Mus musculus: one gene and its partners. The protein of the gene in region 1 interacts with the protein of each later gene in a pairwise test. Links are inferred from orthologs where the notes say so. Each region holds a gene or a part of one and is shown in the gene's direction. Other genes may lie near its edges.

Region 1 (6,870 bases):
AAATAGAGTTTTTAAAAAAATATTTATTTATTTATTTTTATGTATATGAGTACACTGTAGCTGTACATATGGTTGTGAGCCACCATGTGGTTGCTGGGAATTGAACTCAGGACCTCTGCTTGCTCCGACCCTGCTTGCTCTGCCCCAAGTTTATTTATTATTATTATATATAAGTACGCTGTAGCTGTCTTCAGACTCATCAGAAAAGGGCATCAGATCTCATTACGTATGGTTGTGAGTCACCATGTGGTTGCTGGGATTTGAACTCAGGACCTTCGGAAGAGCAGTCAGTGCTCTTAACCCGCCTTATAAGCCATCTCTCCAGCCTGTAAACAGAGTTCTTTGTTATGGCATGTAAATTGCACTAGGAAGAAAAATACACTTAGAACAAATCAATTATTCTAGATCAGGTCCAAGGATGAGGCCACAAGTGTGCACTATGGAAAAGCAAGGGCATGTGAAACTGTTGCTTTGAACTTGTGAGCTTATAGAATGAAACACTGCTTTGAACTTACTATTGACATCTTCTGGGACTCCCTTTTGTTTAGCATTTTATCTGTGAGGTAATTTTATAAAGAACTTTTGTCTAAGAAGCTATAAAAAGGCTGGGAGAAAAATAAATGTGTAGATGTCAGGCTGACTTCCTTTTTTATGTTTTTTCTTTCTCTGTGGAGCCAGTTATTTATTTCGTAGTGTTCTGCCTGCATATATACTGCAGGCCAGAAGAGGGCACCCGATCTCATTATAGATAGTAATGAGCCACTTTGTAGTTGCTGGGAACTGAACTCTGGACCTTTGGGAGAGCAGCCAATGCTCTTAAACTCTGAGCCATCTTGCCAGCCCTCACAAAGAGTTAATGAGCTTCTCGACAGGCCAGTGAGAGGCCCCTGAGTTAAAGAATAAAGAGTCCAAGTAATTCCATTTCTTTTCCTAATCTCCTACTGCTATCAGCAGGAGTCACTTGCCAGAAGCCACCAGTCCTGGTCCCCAGAACAGTAAAAGAGGGTTAGTGACCAGAGGGCATTCTCCTCTGCTCTGCGCCCCACATCGGTACCTGAGTGTCAGGGTGGAACCCTGACAGTTCACAATTTCAGTTTTCTTTACAGCAAAATAGTATTGCACAGAGTATATGTACCACACTGCCATTAGCCAGCCGTCGATCAGAGAATGTTTACGTACGTTGTATTTCCTAGCTACTGTGTATGGCAGCCAACATGGCTGAGCAAGTATCTGTGGAGTGAGAAGTCCTTTGGTCATATGCCAAGGAGCAGTATAGCTGGATTATATGGTTTATTTTTTTGGCTTTTTGAGAATTCTCAAACTTATTTCCATAGTGGCTACACCAGTTTGCAATCCTCCCAGCAGTGAACAAGGGGTTACCTTTCCCTACACGCCCTCTAGAATTTGTTAATGGTTGTTTTATTGGTTTTATCCATTCTGACAGAGATGAGATGAAGCCTCAAAGTTTAATTTCTGTTTCTCTAACTCTAAAGAATGATGAATACTTTGAGATATATGTTAGCCATTTGTATTTCTTCTACTGAAAACGTCTGTTCTGATCCACAGCCCCTCCCCCCTTTTTCTGGCAAGAAAGTCTACAATTTTATTGGGCCTGTTATATAATATTATTAAACTAACCCTAAATGCCATGTCTGAACATTTATTCCTGCAGTATATACATATATATATTCAGGCTGCAGACTACAGCAAGCAGAATCTGGCTGCACTAGGCTTTTAACATTTTATATTTACTTATGAGAGTGTGTGTATATGTGTGCTTGCACATGTGCCATGGTGTCTCTGTTCCGGCCTTACATTATGTGGGTCCCTGGGATTGAATTGAGCCCATTAGGTAGGATACCAAATGCCTTCATTTGTAATGTCTTTTTTTTTTTAAGATTTATTTATTCTATATATATGAGTACACACTGTAGTTGTACAGATGGTTGTGAACCTTAATGTGATTGTTGGGAATTGAATTTAGGACCTCTACACCTCTGCTTGCTCTGGCCAACCCCACTTGCTCCGGTCCAAAGATTTATTTATTAAAATAAGTTCACTGTAGCTGTCTTCAAACGCACCAGAAGAGGGCATCAGATCTCATTATGGGTGGTTGTGAGCCACCATGTGGTTGTTGGGATTTGAACTCAGTACCTTTGGAAGAGTAGTTGGTGCTCTTACCCACTGAGCCATCTCACCAGCCCCTGTAATGTCGTCTTTCTCTGCACTGTTCTCTGATGTCCTGTATTTTTAGACTGGCAGCACCTGTCATTTTTTTCCTGTATATTTCAAGGGCTCAGTAGCTACATGTGGCCAGTAGTAACCAAACTGTACACGATAACGCAGGCAGAGACAAAGGTGGTTTTGCTTCTAGGGCCAGCTCAACTGACAGGAGCTGTTTTAGGAGGGGCACCTGTAGAATGCGGTGCAGGTTTTCTTTTCCTTTCTCCATTCGTGATATCTGGAGTCCTTTCAAGGGTCCTGGTGATGGATGATAATCTGAGGTCTCATCTCTTAGATGAGCTTCTCTACATCTACGAATTCACCCCAAGCCTGGCTCTCCGGGCCACGCAGCTCTTTGTTCTCGTTTTGCCGCATTGACCCCTCAGCCTGACGTCGCTGGATTTCCACCGCAACACTGCAATGGGCGGAGCCAGAGGGCGCGCGGCGCCCAGGCTTCCTTTTGATTGGTGGGTGGCCGGGTTTTAATCTTGCTTGCCAAAGTGGGGGGGAGGGGGTCCGCTGCGCTCCTTGGATCGAGAAATCTGATTGGTCAGTTGTGTGGCGCGAGCAGTGGGTGCACCCCACGCTGATTGGCAGGAGGGACGCACGCATAGAGGGGGGCGGAGCCGGAGTCCGGGAGTGCTGCTCCCCGAGTGTGTGTGGAGCTGGGTGGTGTTTGGTGCGGTACGGCGGCCACTCAGTTGCAGCAGAGCAGGTGCCATCCTGTGGAAGAACCATGAAGCACTACGAGGTAAGCAGCGCGGGGCCCTGGGCCATGATTACCGCAGACCGCAAGTGTCCTGCAGGGCCTCGGAACCTTTTTTTATGGTCTGACTCTCCGCCATGGCGCAGGCGCAGTGTAGTCTCATTGCGCATGTGCAGGGGGGTATTTATAAACCTGCCACCCAGGTTGTTTGGGGATGCCTTTTCTTAGGGTCTTGCAGGGCCTAGGAGAAGCTTGCAGCTTCCTTGCAGCATCCTTGATGGCCTGAGTGGCAGGTGTTCAGGAGGAGTGCGGTGCGGAGCACTTGGTTTTGGTACGAACGATTCTCTTGCACAATCCTTGCACGTTGTCAGCGCCTCGGGCTCAGGAGGGGCTCTGCAGCCAGCCTGCCTCTTCCGACCTTCGCACCCACCTCGCCAAGATGCCTGGGCGGCGAGGGAGTTGGTTCCAGGGTCACGCCAGCCCGTGACCGCCAGGGAAGAAATCTGAATGCGCAAGACCATTCTGGAAGCTCATGTCTTCTGACTGTATCTTGGGTCACCTTTCCTCTTAAAACCAAATCTTCTAATGCTCTTCTCGACCTGATGATACTAATTTCGTTGTTGCTGACTTTTAAGTAATCATCATAAAACAGTAACTCACTGCTCACATTCATAGTAAGAATACATTAGTCAGGGCTAACTACCGTATTACTGAGGTTTTGTTATGTCCTCAGACTCATAGTCCTCTGCGGAGGGATTTGTAGTTTGTTACTATGTAGGTGAAAGTCAGAGATGTCCAGTGAGTTGTTGGAAGGTCCCTGCTAGTAATTGCAGAACAGAAAGGAAATGCAGATTTCTTTTCAAAGGCATAGTTTCTAACCACTAGCAGTGCGGTTCCGGGTAAATGAAAGCTGCCAAGCTGAGAGTTGTGTGTATTTCTCCCCTCAGATCTTAAATTTGTGATGAATTTAGTCAACCTCAGCCTAGCCTTAGGTTAGGGTTTTTTTTGTTTTTTTTTTTTTTCCCCTTCCCTGCCTGCTCCCTCAGTTTGTAGTGCTAGGCTTAGAACTCAGGGCTTTTCTCCTGCTAGGCAAGTACTCTAAACTCTCTTTGATCTTGTAAAACTGAAGCTGTACAGCAGTGTACAGTATCTCCCCATTCCCTCCTCCCCCAGCCCCTGGCAACCACCACTTGTCTCTGGAAATTGGCATACTTCAGGAACCTCCAATACATAGGAAATAATCCTATTTTTTTTTATCACAAGTTGAATACTAATATTGCTATTCATCTTCTGTATCATGATTATTGTTGGTAGTTTTCCCAGGGCCTGTGAAATGAATCTTGAAATCCCCAGTCTTTTTTCTTTTTTTTTTTTTAACATGATGCCAGAGGACCAGAGATGGGAGTCTGCAATCCTTACGCCCCATCAACTCTGTGCTTTCAAAAGGAGGTTTGTTCCCTGGGGTGTTTTTCCTTTCCCACCCCCTCTCTTGCTCTGGGGGAAAAGCCATGTTCAGTTTGAGAAGTACAGGCGGATGATGGAGTTTGCAGCCAATCATTTTAATTTGCTAGTAGAAAATCAGGCCAGGTAGGCTTCTGAGACTTGGGGCGGGTGCTTTGTTTCAAGGAGTGTGAACACAGCCTGAGGCTCACAGTTTGGCCTGGAAAACTTGATCTGGTTTATTTCAGAGCCTGATTTCTCCCAGTGCCTCGATGGGCTGATGGTAGTTCCTCCGGCAGAGCAGTTGTATGCACAAGTGTGCACACACGCGGCTCGGAGGCTCTGGGTTCCACAGCAGCACAAAGGCAGGGAAGAACCAAACTGGGGAATAGGGGTGGAGCTCATTTGGTAGAGCACTTTCCTAACCTGGGTCGGATCCCTGGCCCTGAGGAAAACCCGGCAAGCAAGCTGGTACACGCCTGTAGTTCCAGGTCTTGGGACATGGAGGCAGAAGGATGCAAGGTTATCTTCAACTACATAGTGAGTTTGATGCCAACTGGGGCTAGAGATCCTGTCTCAAAAATGCAAACCAAATGAAATAGACAAAAATAAATAAATAAATAAATAAATAAAAACAAAGTTTGAGGGGCCTGGAGAGAACACCACAGGAAGACCAACAGAACCAAGTAACCTGGACCCTTGGGGTCTCCCAGAGACCGAACCACCCACGAAAGAGCAAACAAAGGCTGGACCTGGGCCCTCCACACATACGTAGCAGATGTGCAGCTTGGTCTTCATAGACAACTGGAGCAGGGACAGAGTTCCTGACTGATGCCTGCCTGTGGATCCTGTGTCCCTAACTGGGCTGCCTTGTCTGGCCTCAGTGGAGAGAATGCGCTTGGTCCTGCAGTGACTTGATGTTCCAGAGTGGGTTGGTAACCAGGGGGGCTTCTCTTTTATCAGAGGAGAAGGGGAGGGGGTGGGGGAAGCTATGTGAGGGGGGCCGGGAGGAGAAAGGGGGCTGTAATGAGTATGTGACATGAATAAATAAATAGATAAATAAATAAAATAAATGGGAAAAAACCCCAAAAAGCCAATGTGACCTTGGTGAAAAAAAAGTTATTTCATATATATATATATATATATTTTTATTCTCTGTTGACATTTGTTTAATACACACTGAGGCCATAGTTTTGGGACAGGAGCATCTGCTATCTTCTAGCCCAGTTTGCAGAGCCATTTGCAGTACCATTTTATTGGTACAGACCAATAAAAATGGGAGAGATGCTTTCATAGTTAAGATGGGGAAAAGTGTCAGCTTAATCCCCATTAAGAGCAGAGCTCTGGGCTCTTAGGCCTGCATGCAGGAGACCCTGAGTTCCAGCCCCAGCCCTGGATAAAACCAGGCGTGGTAGTTGATGCTTGTGATTGATCCCAGTACTTGGGAGGTGAAGGCATTAGAATTACAAGTTCAGAGTCATCCTTGTCTAGCTACATTGTGAATTCCAGGCCACCCTGGTAGGATGGCTCAGCAGGTAAAGGTGTCTGCTATTGAACCTGAAGACTTGGGGTTAGTTCCTTTTAGTTCCTGGAACGCAGGTGGTGAAAGGAAAGAACTCCCACAGGCTGCCCTCTGACTTCCACTTGCATGCATCAGTGTGCATCACAGGCTGCCCTCTCTGACTTCCACATGCATGCATCAGTGTGCATCACAGGCTGCCCTCTCTGACTTCCACATGCATGCATCAGTGTGCATCACAGGCTGCCCTCTCTGACTTCCACATGCATGCATCAGTGTGCATCACAGGCTGCCCTCTCTGACTTCCACATGCATGCATCAGTGTGCATCACAGGCTGCCCTCTCTGACTTCCACATGCACGCATCAGTGTGCGTTCAATTACAATAAATAAAAATGTAATTTTTCTTGAGGTAGAATCTGTGTAGTCTGTGTAGCTCTGCCTGACCCTGAGTGGCCTGGAACTTGCCTTGTAGACTAGTCTGTATCTGGCCTTGAACCAAGGGATCTCCCTTTGTCTTCCTAAGTGCTGGGTTTAAAGGCGTGTGCTACCACAACAGGCTAAAATTTTAATTTAAATAACAAAGTAATAGATACCTTTGAAGGACTGAGTCGATCCTTTGCCCTCTTGCACCTCTGTCCACTGGGAAACCTCCCGTCTCAGAAGCCTCGGAGGTAGTGAGACAGTTCATCAGGTAGAGATGCGTCTTTGAGGCCTACCTGAATTTGATCCTTTCACCCCACAAGGTGGCAGGAGAGAACCAATTTCTGGAATACAATGAATTTTAAGAAGGAGAAAGACTTTTTGCCCATAGGAAGACACCACAGATATAATGAAGTACAGTTAATTATTTTTGGATGTTGTGGTGCTGAGCTGGAACCCAGGGTCTTTCTTGCACAGGCTAATCAAGCACCCTGCCCCCAAAGCCGCGCCCCCCAGACTTGGTGCTCAGGGGCTGGAGAGATGGGTCGAGAAGACCCAGG
Region 2 (6,070 bases), on another chromosome or scaffold:
CCACAATGTAGGTGCTTGGAATTGAGCCTAGGTTCTCTAGAAATGCTCTTAACATCTAAGCTGTCTTTCTACCTCTCCAAATCCCATGTTGATCACAAGGATGTATTATTGATCTACAGTTAATAATTGTCCAACATGGCCATTTTCCTAATCCTGACCTTTGAAAGAGTTAAGTGTAAATAAAGAGTAAAGTGTAAAAACTGTCCGTTCCTTCAGATGCCTGCTTGGCTGGGTCAGAAGCGAGAACTTTGAAGTTTACCTGCTTGTTGACTACCTGTCTATGTGTAGGCCACTAAGATGATACAAACCAATATTAGGTATAAAGAGAACGGAACTGGGTCTTTAGAGTGAGCCCAGTCAGTTGGATCCCTTTGCTTCACAGATAGTTGCAAAACTTTGTCCTGTGGAAAGCATCAGGTGCTTTGGGGAAACAAAAGATGAGTTTACACACTCAGTTTCCAAGGTGAGCTAGAGTACAGAACACTGGAGGAGCTGCCTATAGGAAGCCTTTAAGAGGTTTTAGCCACAGCTGTAAAAAATAATACTGATAAAATAAATCTATAAAAAACATACATCACTGTCAGATAATGAGGGTTACAAAGTCCATGAAAAGCAACATATCCGATAAACGTAGATTTTGGTATCCGATAGGCTTTAAGCAAAGCTTCATGGGCAGACTGGAGCCCTCAGTGTGAGCTTTAATGGTACTTAGCTCTGGCCTTAAAGCAGAAAGTACTCCTGCTCTTGACAGGATGAAATTCTTATTATTTTTAGAGAATAGTAACCATGCATTTATGAAGTTCTTTGTCAGGGCAATTTAGTTAATAGCTATGTAAATGACTACTTATTTCACTGTGTAGGTGGATCACTCCATGTACACTTTCTGAGAAAGAATGCAAGTGCTAAAAACTGTTGGCTCTGCAGATGGAGAGAAGCAAAAGTGAAGGCAGGGTTGCTACACCCTTGTCACTACAGGTTGGGATGAGACAGAGAAATCAGCACATAGTAGTCTGCTCGGTTTACTGAGTAGGACTTTAACTCACAGCCAACTCACCAACCATGTAGGACAGGGGAAACAGGTGAATCGCAGTGCAAGCTTGTCTGTTGGGTTTTGCTCACAAAGGATCTTTATAAACTCATAGTGGGGTGGAGGGGTGCTGGAGTCTGTATTACAGCCATAAATTCCCCTGGAACAGCACCTATCAAACACATAAGGGAACTTGACCAAGGTTACCATTTCTCTAGCGTAAGGCAGTCAGTGTCAAAGTCGTTCTGGTCTAGCTGCCTTGTGTGAGCGAGCAGGCCTCTTGTCTCCTCAAGAGGGTACCTGCTTGGTATATGGCCTGTGCCTCTTCTTTCCTGAGCTCACCCTACCCACCATGCTTGAATCCTCACATTTGTGTTCTGGAAGTGTCCTCAGATTCCCCGCTGTCACACTAATTGCACACAGATTCTTGGTGATGATCCCAAGCCTCCCACCCGCTTGTCCTCCTAGCCTCCTCTCCCTACCTACTTCTGACTCCTCCACCTCACTTTTCCCTTATCAGAGCAGCAAAGAAACTTGGTGTGTTTCTCTCTTGCTGAGGTATCCTGCTCATCCAGTTCCCTTCCTTGCTGCTCCCACTGATCCACAAACGGAGTCTCCTGTCACGTGCCTCCATAGAACTGTTGGAGGTGCCTTGTCTTTGATCAGCAAGCCCTTTCTAAGCTGTGCTGCAGCCATTTGAGGACAAGGATGGGTGGCTGTGGCCGGGCAGCCCTGCAGGCAGTGCACATTATAAAATGCCTCTTGTGCATGTTCCTTTGTTTGTTCTTACATCTTTTTTCTTCTCCTCCAGGTGCAGAGTGAAGACAGTGTACTTCTGTTTGTCATTGCCTGGACAATCACGGAAATTATCCGTTACTCCTTTTACACATTCAGTCTATTAAACCATCTGCCTTATATCATCAAATGGGCCAGGTAAAGAAGTGCATACAGCAAGTACTAACTTTGTAAGAACCCACACCATATCTGCCTTTTATTGCCTGACTATTGCCTCCAACTTCCCAAAACTGAAATTGGATGAGATGGGGATTTCACCAGAAAGGTCTTGACTTTTATCTGTAGAAACACTGTTCTAAAGTCTTCATATTTTACTTAGATTATTTTTCTTGAACTCTGTTCTTTTCAGTTAAGTTACTCAACAGAGACTTATTATATTATCTGTTTTTGTCCTTACTCAGTTTAGCTGATGAACTTGTCCCCTTGTGGTCCGTGTCTACATCTCCTAGTCTTGTTTTGTCAAGAAACTATGACATGTGAGGTTATTTTACTTAATAGCAAACATTACATGGTTTTCTCAGCTTATAAATTTTATTTTGCTTTGATTATTTTTACCAGTAATATTCATTAAGAATCAGGCATGTGAGGCTGGAGAGATGGCTCAGCAGTTAAGAGCACTGACTGTTCTTCCAGAGGACCTGAGTTCAATTCCCAGCACCTACATGGTGGCTCACAACCATCTGTAATGGGACTCAATGCCCTCTTCGGCTGTGTCTGAAGATAGCTACGGTGTACTTACTTACATTAAAGGAAAAAAACAAAGAATGAATGAATTCAGGCATGGTGATTCACCCTTTTATAATCCCAGAACTTGGAAGGCTGAGGCAGGAAAATTGCCACAATTTCTGGCCCCAGAATGAGACTCTGGTCTCAACAACAATAATGAAATTTAATTGTGACTTAGACAAAAGGCTGATGGCACATCTGTTTATCCAGTTGTGATTTTGTGCATGAGGAACTGTGGGGTGAGGATGACAGAGCAGAAAGGTCCAGGCTGACTTTGGAGCTAAGACACCTCATTTCCTAAAAAGAAAACAGTTGTTACTACACAGTTTGAGTTTAGCGATTGAATTAGGAATGGAATCCAGTGTCTAGCATTTCAAGGATATGAGCCTTTTGTTTTTTTTTTAATAGACTATATTTAGGAGGAAAAGAAGGGAAAAGTAACAGCTTCCAACCAGCCTGCACGGCCATCATGAAGGCTGTCCGTCTGTGGGGACACTTGTTGCACTTGTTGGCCTAGATTTGGCTTTGTTCTCAGAGAATTCTTTGGCTTATTTTTCTCTGTGGTCTATGGACAGTTCTTCTCCACTGCCCTGCCTAATGATCTAGGTTGGCAACAGGGAAAATGACTTGTTTCTGGGCAGATTCTTGTGCCTGGAAGCTTAATCCAGGTTAATTTTGAGCCGTAAATGGCTACAGTTTCTTGAATTTGAGCTGAGACAATTTCCACAGGGATGATGGTGCCTCATGTATGTACATGTTTGGTCTGCAGGTATCTGTATCCACGAACATGCCCGCTGCCTGCAGAGGCCAGAAGACCTTTTAGTGGCTGTGAGCAACCACATGTGTGCTTAGGAATTGAACCCTGGTCCTCTGCAAGAGCAACGAGTGCTTTTAACCACTGAGCCCTCTCTCCTGTTCCCTCTGAATTCTTTTAAAAGAGATAAAAACTTTTTAAAATGAAAATAATTGTGTGAACACCTCATGAAATAGTAATTTATCTGTGTGGGTTTGTTTGTAAAATTCAAAGCTATTAGGAATTTTCTAATGTTAAAATTAGTCAAGATTTTATTTTCACAGTAGTTTGTATGGGCATTTTGGAAGTAGCAGAATGTAGCTGTGTAATGTACTGTTTCCTTCAGTCTGCATGCAGCTTGGCGTGCCTTAGGGATTCCTGGATGGCTGCTCCATCTCCTTCCTCTCCGTCCCCACAGGGAAGGAAGGCCCTTGTTAGAGTTTAATGCCCCTACTCTACCGTTCTAAAGCTGCATGTTCTGAAGGAGCCAGGTTTCGAAGCTGACTGACAGTTACTTTGCTTTAGAACATTTGGAAACATTTGGGAACCTACAATGGCCGCTTTCAAAAACTGGCATATAAAGGCTAAATAAAAACGGGGAATGGAGCTGCAGACACAAGCTTTCTGAGAAGGCGGTGCTTGTAAATATGGCTCTGAGCGCTCAGTGAGGGCTCTGTTCTGTTTCAGGTACACACTTTTCATCGTGCTGTACCCAATGGGAGTGACAGGAGAGCTCCTCACAATATACGCAGCTCTGCCCTTTGTCCGGCAGGCCGGCCTGTACTCCATCAGCTTACCTAACAAATACAACTTCTCCTTTGATTACCATGCATTCCTGATTCTGATCATGATCTCCTACATTCCACGTAAGTATATTTATGTGATAAAGGTCAGCTCTGCGGTAACTAGAGTTACATCTTTGCTCTATGTGTAATATAAATCACATTTATGGGATGCTTTGGTTTTTATTGACCACTGACTTTCAGAGGGAATTTTCTCTGGCAGTAATTGGATAAAGATGAACCCTTCTCTGTAGCGCTGCAGTGTGCAGGTCACTGCTGTGCTAGGCCAAGTAGGAAGGAGAGAGCAGAAAACCAGATGGCCTTACCTTAGCTTCATTTTCCTGTCTCTTCAGAATTGCTTTATTAAGGTTTGTGAAAAACATTGTAAGAAGATGTTCGCATTGCTCAATATATCAAAATAGGCAGTTTCACTTCACTTTAAGAGACCAGTAGCTGATCAGAAACAAATAACAAAATAAAAACAGATATATTGTTTTTCTACATTTCTCATTGAGTACAAAACCCTCAGAATTGGACACAGTGTTCCCTGCAGTGTGGCTTCCAGTTATTCTAATAGAACCTCTGATGGCTTAAATGTACGGAAAATCAAATGTACCTCTGAACGCACAGGACCAGAACAGAAAGGGCACGTTTGACAGTGAGGAGTGTGTCTTTTTCTCGGATTCTGCTCAGTTGTAACTCCTGGTTGATTTCTGTATTCCAAAAGGACCTTCTTAGACCCAAGGACAAACCAAGCTCATTTGGCAATACTGTAGCCACTGTAATTCTTAGTCTTCCCTAAGCCCCACTAAGTTCAAGCAGGGATAAATTTCTTTAGCCCCCAGCATTATCTGAGTGAGTCATCCTAACCATCATAAATGACATGTTTGTGTCCCTCTGTAGAAATTGCATTTTACGCATTGTAAAGAAAAAAATTCTGTGCAGATTTCATCTGAACATTTATCTTGGAGAAATTCTTGGACACAGTCCTGCTTCATGATTCAGTTTCCACTCTATTCATTACCAAAAGCTTCCTTTAACACCAAGACCTTGGTGACTAACAGCCATTTTTCTTCAGAAAGCGTGCTGGATGTTGAAACAAAAGGCAAATCTGGAAGAGTGCAAATGTACATGATGCAAAGGCATGGATTGTCACCTTTGAGGTTTGCCCCCTAGAGCAGCAAGGCACAGCAGTGACTTTACTACTCTGAGAATAGCACCCCCTGGGCGTCTCGGTATTTGCTTCTATTCTGATAAGCAGGAGATATGTCCCACTCTGAATGACTAGAAAGGTCAGGGAAGGCATCACACATTCACACCTCTGCGGGGACTTCACCCTGATGATCTTCTCTCGCTGGCAACCAGCCTGGCCAAGACTTCCTGCTGCCTACTGCTAGGCTGATTGTCAGGTCAGACACAGCAGCCCTCCATGACACTGGGGCCCCTACTGGAAAACACAGCCAACCCCGTGGTATTTTCCATCTTGACCTTCAGGGAGAGAGGATCAAGCACAGGCCTAGGTCAGAACTCTGCCCTCATCTTTTTTTTTTTTTTTTTTTTTTTTATAGCAGTGAGATTACTAGAAATGAACACAGGGCCTTGGGCATGTCCTTTCCCACTAGCCTGTGTCTGCAGCCCCAGAACTCTTTGTTTTTCATTTATGCTTACTTATTTGTTAGGAGAATGTATGTGCGTGCACACATACTGCAGCACACATGCGGAAAAGTTTAGAGTCAGTTTTCTCTTTCCATATCATATAGAGATCAAACTCATGCTGTCAGACGTGCTTAGCAAGTGTCTTTACCCACTAAGTCAGCTCAGGTTTATTTATAATTATGAGTGAGGCATGTGTGCACACATAAGTTCAGATCCCTGAGAAGGCCAGAGGCATCTGATCCTCTGAAACTAGACTTGGTTAAAGATGCTTTTAGCTGTCTCACATGGTGT
Region 3 (4,674 bases), on another chromosome or scaffold:
CTCGGACTAGATTACAAGTGTATGATGTCACTCTTGGCTAGTGTCCAAGTTTGACAGGCATTATCAGAGAATGTAAGAGTTAACTTTATTCAGTTTTAGTTTCTGAAAGAAAAAAAGTTGAAAGTACCTTAAGATAAGGATATATTCTATATCACTTTAGAGACTCTAGGAAAATCAAATGAATGGAAATTATAAGAAGATTGATGTTGCTTTAGGATAAGGGTAGATGTTGTTGTTGTTAGTTTTGAGACATGGTCTTATGTAGCTCAGTCTGTCCTCAAAAACTACCCTAGCCAAGGATGGTCTTGAAATCCTGACTTCCTTCTTCTGCCTCCCAAGTGCTGATACTACAGGCATGTACAACCACACCTAGCTTAAGTGGAATTTTTAAAATTAATTAGAGACTGGAAAGATGATTCCGTGGTTTAGAGTACTTTCTGCTTTTCCATGGGGCATGAGTTCAAGTCCCAGCTCCCACATGGCAGCTTACAATCCGAGGAGATCTGACACCCTCTTCTAGCCTATGTGGGCACTAGGCACACCCATTATACATATACGTTATACAGACATGCAGGCAAAACACCCAAACACATAAAAAATAATAAAAAGTCTGGCTTTCTAGTGTTGAATATCTGCTCCTTGGTGTTCACACAGAAGGTAAATGCCTACTGACAGAGAGGCTGTGGAGAGTATTTGATTGGGAAGAAGGTTAGCTGTCTTCCAACATACCTATGTAGTATATATAGGTATAACATACAGGCATATAATAACATACTGTGGGTGACCTTTCCCCCATCTTCTCTTAGGTGGAGGAACAAGTTCTGAAACGAGTGCGGAGGAAGATTCGTAACAAGAGAGCAGCTCAAGAAAGCCGCAAGAAGAAGAAGGTGTATGTCGTGGGGCTGGAGAGCAGGTAAGCAAGGATGGACACGGGGGAAGCCTGGAGGGTCTTGAAGGGAGGAGACACAATATTTTGAAATCCACGTGTCCTCACATCCATGTTGTCCTCTAGGGTCTTGAAATACACAGCTCAGAATCGGGAGCTGCAGAACAAGGTGCAGCGTTTGGAGGAACAGAATCTGTAAGCGGCCATTTGAAGACAATCGGTTTTTTAATGCTTTCTCACTCTTTCCACTGTTCCACATGACTTCCAACTGGATAGCTCAAAAATGCAGACATCCGGAAGTTAGCCATGTCTCAAGCGTGATGGAGAATAAACTTATAAGTAGCTAAGGAGCAATTAAGTACCAAGATAGAGAAGTAAGAAAAGACTGCAGGTCGTCAGCGTCATTGCAGTTGCAGCTGTGGGGATGGGACTGGGAGGAGAGAAGGCTGCATTGTGCTTGGCTGGCTCTAGCTCTGGGGTTGGGTAGAGAGCACAGGGCTTGGTGGGGAAGCACAAGCTTAGTTGATCAGGTACTGCAGCTACTGGAGAGTTTTTCTTGAAGGTATTTAAGTCAGGACAGAGCAGTTTGATTTTTTTTTTGTCTCACTAAGGAATCACAGGCATTTGTGCACAAAGACACTTGGGGTGAGGGGGAAAGGCAAGGAAGCTGAGACTGGATCCACAGCATGAGTGGAGAGGGTAGCTAAGACAGGAGGCCTTCATCGTGCCTTGCATGCTCGGCCAGAGCATGCGCACTACCGTCTCCTCTCGTCTCTTAGGTCCCTTCTAGATCAACTGAGGAAGCTTCAAGCCATGGTGATTGAGATAGCCAACAAAACCAGCAGCGGCAGCACTTGTGTTCTGGTGAGGAGGGTGACAAGAGATCCTTTCCCTGGCAGAGATGGGGTGTGTGACCCAGAGCTCTTCACCCCCTTCTTCTCCCTGTGTTCTAGGTCCTCGTGTTCTCCTTCTGTCTTCTCCTGGTACCCGCTATGTACTCCTCTGATGCAAGGGGAAGTGTGCCCGCGGAGTATGTTGGTAAGAGGCTTAAGGACACCTTCGGGCGTGGTCTGTGGTAGAGAGAGGGCTTCTTCTGTGTGGTCTCCTGACCAGTCTTTGTCTCTTCAGTGTTGCACCGCAAGCTTCGTGCCCTCCCCAGCGAGGACGATCATCAGCCGAAGCCATCTGCTCTATCGTCAGAGCTACCCATGGACAGCACACACCAGTCACTGGACAGCTCAGAACATATGTTCTTGGTCTCCAGCAACTTTTCCTGTGTACTGTACCACGCGCCTCAGGCAGAGCAGCCCCTGCACTGGCCACTCTGGGATCTTTCTTCAGAGATGCTCTTCTCCGACTCCAACCTTCTCCTGCAGGCAAACCTTTCAGAAAGCGAGGGATGGCAACCTAACCACAGCCCTTCTTTGGTCATCTTTCAGGGCAGGTATTCAGGTTAGGTGTGAGGATGTGGGGTGTCCTCAGCCTGAGGACTCCTGTCTGTATTCAAATAAAAAGGAGCAGGGGAAAGCTGGCCTTTGCTCACGTGCTCTGTTAGGATGCCCAGGAACTCAGACACACCACACTAACTAGTTTTCTGAGTATTTTATTTATACCCATATGTATCTGTTGCCCCGTGAATAGATTTGGAGACATTTACTGGCCTTGAATACTTCATCCATGGAAGGACTGGGTAGGGTAAGAAATAAATAAGTGGTTCCTCAGCCCCTTTTTACTGGCACAGCTGGGAAGGAAGAGGGGCGCGATTGTCCTATTGGCTCAGGGCTGCAGGACTTGTGGGAGGAAGGAGGAGGTCCAGTGTGGAGGCTGGGCCTCCACAGTTCAGAGGGATCACTCTGAATTGAGGTTTGCCAGCGATCTCTTTGGTCCACATTCAGGCTGTGTGCTTAGTCCCGTGCCTTGTGTGACTGATGGCCTGCGGCTCTTTTTATGCTGCTGCTGTTGCAGGGCCAGCTGCATGGCCCAGATGCTCAGTGGCCGCATGTAGGCCAGGGAGCGGAACACTTGTTGCTGGCAGTATGCCTCTGGGGTCTGGAAAGCCAGGCCCAGGCGTTCCCATACAGTGCGGTAACAGCCTTCAGCTGTCCGGAAACCTTCCCAAGTCAGGCCCTGTGGGGAGACGTAGAAGTCACACATAATAACTGACTCTTGGCACAATTACCTTAGCTGAGCAGAGAAGACAGGAGGCCGTTCGCCCTAAAGGCAAGAACTTAAAGGCAAGAGGTGGAACACTTATTAGGGAGAAGGGCGCTCTGTGGACGGATAAGATGGCAGGCAGTAGGGTGTTCTTGGAATAAAGTTAGTGGCTGAGGAAGTTTTCTGGACCTCAGTACAAATGGTGAAGGGCTGGGAAGAGAATTCATTACCTCTTGGATCATGGTGGCTGCCAGCCCATAGACCACACCCACCCAGACTTCATCAGACTGCACACTGGATCTATCAGGGACACCATGAGGGTGCATCCCGTTCACGGCCCCCATGGCTCCTCCTGCAAAGGCTTGGACGTTGAGTTCAAAGATGGTTTGGAGAGCACGGACCACATGCAGGGTAGGAAATACCTGGAGGGAGAGCAAAGGTGGAGTCTCAGACTTGCCTCCCACCTCCAGGGAAACCCAGACTTCTGGCTTCTCCAGCCTCTCACTTCAGTGTCTCCTTCTCCCAGGCCGCAGGCCCTCAGGAACCACTGCCCAGCACACTGGTCAGACATGATGCTCCGAGACTGAGGATGGGAGCTGCTGTCGTAGTTGTAATAGCGTCCTGGAATAGAGAAAGAGCAAAGTCAAGTTGCTTGTATCCCGTAGTTGGGTTTTAAGCTGCCCCAGGTTGCTTTTACTCACCGTTCCACAGCAGTCTCTCATAAGCTTCTCGGCCTCGGCAGAGAATGGAAGCAAACCTCTCCTGGACATCTTGGGCCCCACACAGAACAGCCATCTGAACCATTACAGCCACTGCCGCCAGCCACAGCCCTCCGCAGTAAGCACTGGGTGGGAACAGTGGCTGGAGTGAGACCGGCCGCTCTACACGGCATCCTCACATGCCCGGGTCTTCACCTCAGACCTGGAAATCCCTACCCCCAAACCTGGGGCCTGTGGTGACCCATGCATCATAGGTCTGGTCTGCGTAGCCTCCATTCTCAATGAGTCCATCTTGGTCCTTGTCAAACTTCATTTCGGACTCCATCACAGCCTAGAGAGGGATCAAGACACTGAAGACCTAGGTTCTAAGAAAGAAAGTCTGGGTTCTCCCAAGACTCCAGCTACATCCCTGGTATACTGGACACAGTTCTCGTTCCTTACCAGACACACAGGCCACATGTCCTCCAGGAAGCCTTGATCACCCGTCAGGTAATAGTCCCGATAAATTTGCAATACAAACTTCAGGTTCAGGTCCTTCCAGTCAGCAGTATCATGAATCAAATATGCGTTGACCCGGAGCCATGGCTCATCATCTGTTGGAGGGGAGGGGACCTGGTTCAGTGTGTCAGTGGACAGGATAGCAGGTATAGAGACTGACAGACGGAATCTCACCCGGATCCCCAATGTCATGAGGGATGACGTTCCTCCTTTTCACAGGTGCCACCACTCCACTCATCAGGTACCGTCGCCGGGTCAGGTCCTCCTTCAAAGTTGCCAGAGCTGGGGGAGCGGAGACACAAGTACGTGAGGGAAAGCAGGGAATGGGCAGGCTTGGGGTGGGATCCAGTGCTGTGTGTGTGACCCCAGAGAACTAAGGAGCCAGATGCGGGCATGCTCAGGAGGAAGGGGAGGACA

What was found.
Region 2: the proteins of Tecr (region 1) and Hacd2 interact in binary tests that used the Homo sapiens proteins (3 or more experiments, as listed by UniProt). The link is inferred for Mus musculus from reciprocal best matches to the Homo sapiens genes TECR and HACD2.
Region 3: the proteins of Tecr (region 1) and Creb3 interact in a two-hybrid assay, tested with the Homo sapiens proteins (2 studies listed by BioGRID and IntAct). The two-hybrid records come from large-scale screens. The link is inferred for Mus musculus from reciprocal best matches to the Homo sapiens genes TECR and CREB3.

The regions. Positions count from the first base shown.
Region 1 is NC_000074.6:83,590,444-83,597,313, reverse strand, and holds the start of Tecr (very-long-chain enoyl-CoA reductase), read left to right. Parts: upstream 1-2,822; 5' UTR 2,823-2,959; coding exon 2,960-2,974; exon of another isoform or gene 2,975-4,944; intron 4,945-5,457; exon of another isoform or gene 5,458-6,870. UniProt on the Homo sapiens protein: Involved in both the production of very long-chain fatty acids for sphingolipid synthesis and the degradation of the sphingosine moiety in sphingolipids through the sphingosine 1-phosphate metabolic pathway.
Region 2 is NC_000082.6:35,097,918-35,103,987, forward strand, and holds part of Hacd2 (very-long-chain (3R)-3-hydroxyacyl-CoA dehydratase 2), read left to right. Parts: intron 1-1,838; coding exon 1,839-1,960; intron 1,961-4,028; coding exon 4,029-4,207; intron 4,208-6,070. UniProt on the Homo sapiens protein: Catalyzes the third of the very long-chain fatty acids (VLCFA) elongation four-step cycle (condensation, reduction, dehydration, and reduction).
Region 3 is NC_000070.6:43,564,455-43,569,128, forward strand, and holds the end of Creb3 (cyclic AMP-responsive element-binding protein 3), read left to right. Parts: intron 1-806; coding exon 807-913; intron 914-1,012; coding exon 1,013-1,081; intron 1,082-1,665; coding exon 1,666-1,750; intron 1,751-1,839; coding exon 1,840-1,924; intron 1,925-2,014; coding exon 2,015-2,343; 3' UTR 2,344-2,607; downstream 2,608-4,674. Other genes in the region: Gba2 (non-lysosomal glucosylceramidase), read right to left, coding at 2,735-3,013, 3,271-3,462, 3,546-3,661, 3,742-3,884, 3,984-4,090, 4,201-4,352, 4,432-4,539. UniProt on the Homo sapiens protein: Endoplasmic reticulum (ER)-bound sequence-specific transcription factor that directly binds DNA and activates transcription. Plays a role in the unfolded protein response (UPR), promoting cell survival versus ER stress-induced apoptotic cell death.